Drosophila melanogaster: one gene and its partner. Changing the gene in region 2 together with the main gene of any one other region gives a genetic interaction. Each region holds a gene or a part of one and is shown on either strand. Other genes may lie near its edges.

Region 1 (5,062 bases), 370 kb from region 2:
ACGTTCTGTTGCAAGATTTCGACAATTATTTAAGCACATAGCAAAACTAATGTTAAGTCACTAAAAGTTCCATTTACAAGAAATTATGCTGAAGGAAAAAGAAAATAAACAAGGTAATTAAATTATTGGATAAACCATAGGATCTGCTTTTGGATCAACTGAAACACTCAATTTTAGACATACATGTGTCCATTTTTACTAACTATACTTCTATTGCATAAGTTCGGCAAAACAGTAAGAAAACTCTCCTTGTAAAACGCTCTCTACTCTCAGACTCAGATTGGGATTCGAAACAGCACAATGCAACTATCAAATATTTGGGTCAATTTTTGACGCATTTACTTTTATGGAATTTTTAGCGTATAAGTCTCCAAAATTACCTATTTATAGTACTTACTTGTGTCAGTTATTTAGTGGTCAACAAGCCACAGATCAAATTAAGTATTATAAACTCAAAAGATTTGCCTTTTTCGAAAAATTGTATGTAAATTTGATTAAATCGCATAAATTTAAAGCTTCAAAAGCGTTTACATTAAAAATATGCTGTGCATGCGTTGGTATATCTAAAAACAAATATTGTAAATTATATACTTATAAATGTTTGTAGCTGTTATTCATTGTGCGTCGATTTCGTATTGTGATCAAATTTGAAATGACAGAAATTTGTATGTAATTTACATTTGTATTGTGCGTATTTTGAGTAATTATCGCTTAAGTGCAATAAATACGTGTTAATTTGCAAACGTTAGCTCTTTTAAACTCGCAGGATTCTATGAGCACCACTTTAGAAAAAAGAACTTTCAAATGCAGTTTTGTATAAAGAAAATTGGTTTATTTTTGCTAGACTCATTTAAAACAACATTCTGTTGTTTCGGTTCACTATTTATTTCGCTGTAAAAACGTATATAAAACTCACTTTAATCAAGTACAATTAATCCCCAATTTTCGATTGTACGCAATCCTCGACAACAATAACAAATTAATTTGAAAGCAAATGTGTTCTTCAACGAAAGAATGCAAAATGAACGAAGGAAAGCTGAGGAGAACATAGAGAAACGAGCTGTCCCATCGAAGTTGCCCGTGATCCTGTCTTAGTTGCAGGCTTCGTCCTCCAAGAAGAAGAACTGGCCGGAGCGTTTCTGTTCTGTGTCCTTGACCGAATTGTTTTTGTTAATGCGGGGTCTGAAGTTGTTGGGATCGCGACGGAACGTAATACCAAGCAGTTCGAGGAAGCGGTTCATGCCATTTAGCAGCGACTGCGGCGAAAAGGCTGTCGTCTTCACTGAAGGCTGACCCTCGATCACGATGACACGGTCGGCGAGGTAGGTGGCCATGATGAAATCGTGCTCCACCACAAATCCAGTTTTCTTGGCGTGCAGAATGTAACTAAAACGAGATACCATCAATATTTGTGTGCAGATTTAAAGTCTATGTAAAACATACCGTTTGATAACCTTGGCGGCCACCAGACGCTGCTCTGAATCCAAGTAGGCAGAGGGTTCGTCGATGAGGTAGACATCCGCTGGCTTGCCAAGACACAGGACCAAGGCGACTCGCTGCAACTCACCACCGGAAAGGTTCTGCACCTCCTGGTCCATGATTTCCTCAATTTTCATGGGTTTCATAACATCGGCAATAAACTGAGGATGCACGTAGGCGTCACGAATCTTATCGTGCAATAAATGGCGAACATGATTTTGGAATTTCGGGGAAATCTTCTGGGGCTTGTAGGAAATATTCAGCATAGGCAGTTCCACCTCGCCATCGGGTTGGAGGTTACCGGCCAGCATGCGAATGAACGTCGTCTTTCCTGTACCGTTCTCGCCCAGGAGCACCAGGATCTCGGAGTCGCTGAAGTGACCCTTTTCCACCGTCAACTCGAACTTGCCCAGGGTCTTGACCATGGCGGGATATACGTAGTGGTTCATGCGCTTGATCTCCTCCTCCGTAGCGGACTCAGATACTTTGAAAGTAAGTGACTCAGTGCGGAATCGCATGTTTTCGGTGGGCACAAAGCCATCGAGGAAAATGTTGATGCCTTCGCGCACAGAGAAAGGCATAGTAACCACACCGTAGCAGCCGGGAACTCCGTAAAGGCAGCATATAAAGTCAGACAAGTAATCCAGCACAGACAAATCGTGCTCCACCACAATAATAAACCTGCATATTACAGAACCACGTCATAATTTTAAACAATGGCACATTATTCATCAACTTACTTGGTGGGATGCAGGAGTGATCGAATGGTCAAGGCAGCGTTCAGACGCTGCTTAACATCCAAATACGAGGACGGCTCGTCGAACATGAAGATGTCTGCATTCTGTATGCATACCATGGCGATGGCAAAGCGTTGCAGTTCTCCGCCAGAAAGCTGAGCGATCTCACGATCACGGATGTGCGATAGATCCAGCATTTCACAAATCTTAGTCTGCAGCTCCCTCTCGTCCTTCTTATCCAGAAGATCGCCCACAGCGCCACGCACCGCCTTGGGGATCTGATCCACATACTGCGGCTTGACCAGCGCCTTCAGATTGTCCTCCAAGATCTTGGTGAAGTAGTTCTGCAGCTCGGAGCCGCGGAAGTAGCTAAGGATCTCCGTCCAGTCGGGCGGATTGGCGTACTTCCCCAGGTTCGGCTTTTGTTTCCCCGCGAGGATCTTCAAAGCGGTCGACTTGCCAATACCGTTCTGTCCCACAAGACCGAGCACTTCACCGGGACGCGGAATGGGCAGACGATGCAGCTTGAAGGAGTTCTTGCTGTATCGATGCGTTGTGTGCTTCTCCAGATTGCTGGGCAAGTTGATGATTGTGATGGCCTCGAAGGGGCATTTCTGGGGAATTGAAAGCACGGGTTATTCCGGGAACTACAGCAGTTGTAGGTAAGCTGACCCACCTTGACGCAAATACCGCAACCGATGCACAGCTCCTCGGACAACGAGGCTATCTTGGACGTGGGCGTCACCTCGATGCAGAGCTTGCCCATGCGCACCACTGGGCAGGTCTTCTTGCACTCCTGCCGACACCGTTTGGGCTTGCACTTGTCATCGCTGACGATGGCAATACGCGTCTGCTTGTCCACCTCCTCGTTCTCCTTTCTGCGCGACATGCTGTTGATAGTTTTCAAATGAGCAAATTAAACAGAATTGGCTTCGATCCACTAATCAGCCGCCTATATGATAATCAGTCCATTGTCAACGTTGCAAATCACCATCCCCGACCGTCAAAACAAAACTGGTGCACCGATTCATGGACACAAGAGCGGGGGTGAGGTGCCAGCGTTTGTCAGTGAGTGAAAGTATAACCTCAAAGCGTGGCCAAAACAATGGGTTTCCACCATAAATTTCTATTGTCTCTCATGCGTCAGGCATTGTTCTTAAATTTCACGTTGACAGAGTGCTGAAATATTTGAAATTTACCTGCGAACTTGGCCGAAATTGTTGTAAAACAGACAGAACGCACGCTCTTGCGTGTCAGCCAACAAGTTTCAAAAGGGGGGAGCTTTGATGAGTTTCTCAACACTACTACGAATAGGGATGCGCCGTTGAAACTATCGATATCAATAAGTGGGCTTGAATTTCGTATAGCATGTTTATAATTATTTATTGTTTTGTGCAGTTATTTTTACATAACATAAGTTTTATAATGTTTCAGGGATTTTATTTAAAGTAAGCTTAGTGACAATCAAATAAAATTTATAACTTCTATCTCTCAATATAGGAACATGTAATTTCCGAACTGATAATATATCCTATAAATAAATATAAATATATATCGCACAAGAGCCGCTCTTAATAATATCGATTATTTAGTGTTTTTGACAATCCCATTGGAATTGCAATCACTAATTTTTACACGTCGTTGATTTGTGTCGACTGCTAAGAAAATGGTCGTGCAAGAAGATAATCCAAATACTGGGGACGTTCAGGAAAAGACGGAGACTGCTCCGGTGGCAGAGCCCTCCAAGATCTTCACGGTGGAGAGTAAGTGCCCCAATCGCCTACAGCCAACTGCCAGGTGGCCCAGACGCCCAACCATTTAACCTAAAATTTAATGCTAATGCCCTGAACTTTCACTCCTGCTGCAGTTCTGCACATGATTAAGGATGCCCAGCAACAACACGGCCTGCGCCACGGCGACTTCCAGAGGTACCGCGGATACTGCAGCCGCCGCATCCGTCGATTGAGGAAGGCCCTGAAGTACCCCCAGGGCGACAAGCGGCACTTCAAAAGACGCGACGTGACCATTGGCCAATTGACAGGCAAGAAGGCGGACGAGCGTTTCATCCACATCCCATTGATCTGCGCCGAGCGGGCCTGGGCGTATGCCATGCAGCTCAAGCAGGAGTCCAATACGGAGCCGCGAAAGCGTTTCCATCTGGTCAACAAGCTGCGCAGGGCCTGTTTCTATGCCCTCCAGCTCCAGGAGTTGTGTAATGTAAGCTGTAACTCACTGTTATGATTAATGTTTATTGAGCTTCATTTATAATTTTCTTGTAGACGGAGGCTTTCGATGCGCGCACTAAGCTAGAGTGCGAAGCCTATGTTGCCTGGATGCACGGAACCCTGCACTTTGAGCTGCAGCTATGGAAAACCGCTGGCGAGCACCTAAAGCGCGCCCAAGTGGTGTACGAAAACCTGGGCAAGGCTCTGCCCGAAGATGAACAAGAGCTTTACCGCGCTAAGGTTAATGAATTTACGCCCAATCTGCGCTACTGCGCCTACAACATCAGCGGTGGCGCCAGTGGCGGCAAGATCGACGAGATCCTGGAGCTGCGCGCTCAGGGAGTGCTTGAGAATCTTGACGTACTGGTCAGTCAGACAAAGACGGAGAGCAGCGAGGGCCTGCAGACGATCGACTGGCGCGGTCGCAAGGTCACCGTGCGTCCGGAGAAGGTGCGTTTGTTCCTGCTCAGTGCTCAGGAGTTGGACAAGTCGCTGGCCAAGACCACCAAGCAGGATGCCAAGATAGAATTGATTGAGCGTATTTTGATGGACTGCAAGGATGCCATCCAGGCCGTTCGCGACGAAATCAAACAGGATCCCAAGCTGCGTTCGTTAACCACC
Region 2 (3,732 bases):
GGCACACACCCCACGCCTGAGATGCTCATCGATGTCAAAGACATATTCGCCGAAGGACCATATTCCCTGCTGGGAATGTCGCGGAAGCACGTTGTACGTTTAATCTGACACATTTTATGCAGCCTAAAGCATATCACTAATGCATACGTTCCAGAGAAACCTAGTCAACCTTCATGGACTGCCCAGTAGCATCTTCAAGCGACATCGGCTCCACGAGCACGCCTTCCTGGTGCACTACATGGACCAGGCCATAACCCGCGAGGGTGGCGTTCACAACCTGACACCGGATGCTTTGCGCTACTCCTGCTATCTGCGCGGATTGAATCCCGACAGCCTGAGCAGCGAGGCCATGATCGAGTGGCTGCGGAAGTGGGTCAAGGTGTCCACGTCGATACAAGGCGAACATATCACGCTGTTCCTGCACTTGCCCATCCTGCTGGGCTACAACCATCCCAACAACTGGAAGACCATCTACGGCAAGTGCCCCACTTGAGCGGGGTCCTCTGGTCGTTAGCTATTTGGTAGACTGTGCTTTAAAGATTGGACTGTTAAGATCATTTTGTTTCTTGAGAGCAAATAAAACCGTTAAACCAAAAGAAAGCTGGCAGTGTGCTTGTGTTTTTCCTAAAAATAACACTTTCTTTTATTTTCTCCATGGTGGTGGATGTTCATCAAGCAGTTACTTTCGTTAAAGGTAGTATTTTTTACTTCTTGGCCGCGGCCTTCTTGCCACCCTTGGCCTTCTCGGCACGCAGACGCTCGCGACGATCCTTCTTGAGGACGCGGGGAGTGCCGTCAGCCTTGGTGCGCTTCTTCAGTGTGTTGAAGGCGATGGTCAGCAGCTTGTTGCGCTGACGCTTGGCATAACGCAGCTTGAAGCGGTCAAAGTCGTTCAACGAGGAGCGCTGCAAAAGAAGACAAATTCTCATTAGTACTTGATTTATTCTGAATGTTTATGAAGACGCCTAGCTATGATTGTAATCAGATAAACTAGAATTAGCTTCATATATGTGTCAGCCGGCAATTCCTATCAAGAACTTTCAATTATCATCATGTGCAGTTCAAGGAGGTAATCAACTAGGCAGAGAAGAGGTATAACATTTTCCCCTCTACATAGGTAAACTTTCCTACAGCTACGAATCCTCCTCGTGCTCAGTGTACATACCTTGCAGATGTTCTGTGCCTTGACGGACCAGGGGCTGACCTTCCACTGGGCCTTCAGGTCGCTCTCTGTCCAGGCCTTGCGCACGATGCGCGTGGGCGCGGTGTAGGGGAACTTGATGCGGTACTTGGTCAGATGCAGATTGTTCAATCTGTATTCCTGACGGGGCACGCCAGTCAGAGGACCATCTACCAGAACCTGAAAAGTGAAAAGCCATTAATTAGTTTGGATCACTTTAACCATGTATGGCCATGAAGGGAGGAGTACAGCAACAAATGCTGGTTTTGCTTGCTTGCTTTCAGAGGGTTAAACTAGCTTCATTTATGTGTCAGTTGGCACTTCCTATCAAGAAGACAAATTATCATCATGTGCAAGAGCTCGTCACTTGGCAATTTGTTGCTGTTACTCCACTATGGAATGATGCACTTACTCTGTTTTGGTCAATGACGTCGACAATGGCCACCAGGCGCCCCTTCAGGGGACCGGCGGAGGCCTTGGCAATGCGACCAGTTTGTACGAATCTCTCGAAAGGCTGCAAACAGAGAGAAGTCCATTAAAAATGGGTGAAAATGTTGGATTTCGGTTGTTGCATGGCCAGCGCGTTGCTTGTGTTGGTGACCACCACGTGAACTATTTGAATGTTGGATATCCCATGGTTTTCCAACGCTTTTACGCTGCTTTCGCTATTCACACGTTCAACGCACTGACCCGTTCGCTTGGCCGCCAAATTTAATTCATCTCGGGCCATTTAGACCGCTGAATTTTCACATTTTTCAACCGATCCGCAGAAACCTTCGTCGATTCTTACCATGACGCTAACCGGAAAGAAAGAGAAGGAAAGAACTTTTTTGACAGCTCGGTGGTAGCATGGCGTTAGTGTTGCTAAACACAGAGTTGCATGTGGTCTAGTGTTGTGCAGAAATAGTTAATGTGACAGTAAATCATACACATCTTATGTGGTATTTTTCGCTATCAACTGTTACAGTCACACTAAGCCAATTCGATAGATTTCGATAGTAAAAATAAACATTTTGGAATAACATAATTACTTTTGTAGAAGTTACTTTTTACGGGGTTAATTTCAAGCAGACATTTTCCCAACATGGTTTACATACACTTCCCCAACAATTTAACCGAAGAGGAGCAAATGCTGCAGGCCAAGTATCAGAAACTCAAGAAAAAGGTGGGAAAACTCATGCCACAAATGTGATTATTTATATTAACAAGTTTTTAACCCGTAGAAAAAGGCACTGCAAGCGCACAAGGCGCCCAAGCCGGAGCCGGAGAGCTCCTTGACCTTGAAGCGTCCCACGGATGCGCGAGATGCCCGTGAAGTGGCCAGGAAACTAATCAAAAGCGGCGCCATTCCCGCCATCCAGAAGCAGACCAAGCAAGATCAAACCTCCTTCAAGCGGCCCAAAGGACAGGAAAGAGCCAAGCGCTCCACCTCGGAAACCACTGTTGCCTCCTACCAGCCCTTTTCGTCTACGCAGAACGACGTGGCCCAGGAGACGATCATTAGTGAGATCATTAAGGAGGAGCCGCGTCGACAGAATCTCTACCAACACTTCGCCACCGAGCGGGATCGAGAGGAGCGCGGCATGCCCGAGAAGGTGCCCATGGACACAGCGCAGCCAGAGAAGCCACGGGCCGGCAATACCATCTTCGTGTCCGGCAACAAGGTCACCGAGGATTTCTTAAAAAAGACATTCAACGACTACGGCACCATTGTCAATGTCTCCATGGAGATCGAAAAGAGGTAAGTGAACATGGAAAGTCCATGTTATAGCTTACATATATATTTTCCCAACTGGAGAAATTATAAATTTATCCTGTATGGCCTTGCAGTCGCGGCTTTGTTTCCTTCGCCAAACCCGAGTCGGCAGATCGCGCCATTGCGGAGATTCATGGCAAGAATGTGAATGGCATCAACTTGCAGGTGCAGTTGGCTAGACGCCAGCCCCAGATTGAGCCCATTAACGATGCCTCCTCGTCGGCAGTCTGGTCATCTATTGGTAAGTGCTCAGTGTTTCTCTATAACTTAAAAACGAAATCAAACCTTATGTACTCCCCAAATAGCCGCCAGCAAATCACAAAAGGGTAGCCACAAGGACCACCGCGAGATGGTTCAATACGATGAAGACTTCTTGCTCTAGAGCGCAATAATTAGTTTCTACGTTTAGCTTTCTACTTACTTTATCCCTTAGTAACAGAACACATTTCAGTTTATTTTAAATAATTTTGCTTTATTGAAAATACGCTTCTATATATATGTTCACTTTCTGGCTAAGTACTCGCATTTCAAGTTATAACGTTCAAATGAATTCAATGAAAAAGATTGTATGTTTTGTATATTAATTCCTACGTTTTGATCTAAATTAAACAACAATATGTTTAACAATTGAATCTCTCGCTTTGCCTTACGTGGTAGAAAAGATGAGCAAACAAAATAAGTTCTTATTAGTGGTCCTCGCCCCCTCCTCGCAAGAAACAGAGAACGTCGTATGTATGTACATAGCATGAGTTAAGTAAATAGTTAATACATGATCGTTGCTTCTGTTGCTATGCTC

The links.
Region 1: of RpL14 (region 2) and pix, changing one enhances a phenotype caused by changing the other (phenotypic enhancement), as found in Drosophila melanogaster (one study listed by BioGRID).

What each region holds. Positions count from the first base shown.
Region 1 is NT_037436.4:8,971,242-8,976,303, forward strand, and holds pix (pixie), read right to left. Parts: upstream 3,525-5,062; 5' UTR 3,416-3,524; intron 3,177-3,415; exon of another isoform or gene 3,107-3,176; 5' UTR 3,106-3,106; coding exon 2,893-3,105; intron 2,831-2,892; coding exon 2,220-2,830; intron 2,161-2,219; coding exon 1,444-2,160; intron 1,387-1,443; coding exon 1,092-1,386; 3' UTR 815-1,091; downstream 1-814. Other genes in the region: Srp68 (signal recognition particle 68), read left to right, coding at 3,883-3,979, 4,084-4,433, 4,496-5,062. UniProt on the Drosophila melanogaster protein: Plays a role in translation initiation and quality control of translation. Together with pelo and HBS1, is required for 48S complex formation from 80S ribosomes and dissociation of vacant 80S ribosomes.
Region 2 is NT_037436.4:8,599,276-8,603,007, reverse strand, and holds RpL14 (ribosomal protein L14), read right to left. Parts: upstream 2,003-3,732; 5' UTR 1,974-2,002; coding exon 1,971-1,973; intron 1,695-1,970; coding exon 1,593-1,694; intron 1,536-1,592; exon of another isoform or gene 1,456-1,535; intron 1,361-1,455; coding exon 1,166-1,360; intron 1,061-1,165; exon of another isoform or gene 977-1,060; intron 906-976; coding exon 705-905; 3' UTR 616-704; downstream 1-615. Other genes in the region: CG5989 (uncharacterized protein), read left to right, coding at 1-93, 155-493; Nelf-E (negative elongation factor E), read left to right, coding at 2,265-2,345, 2,404-2,921, 3,011-3,177, 3,242-3,318.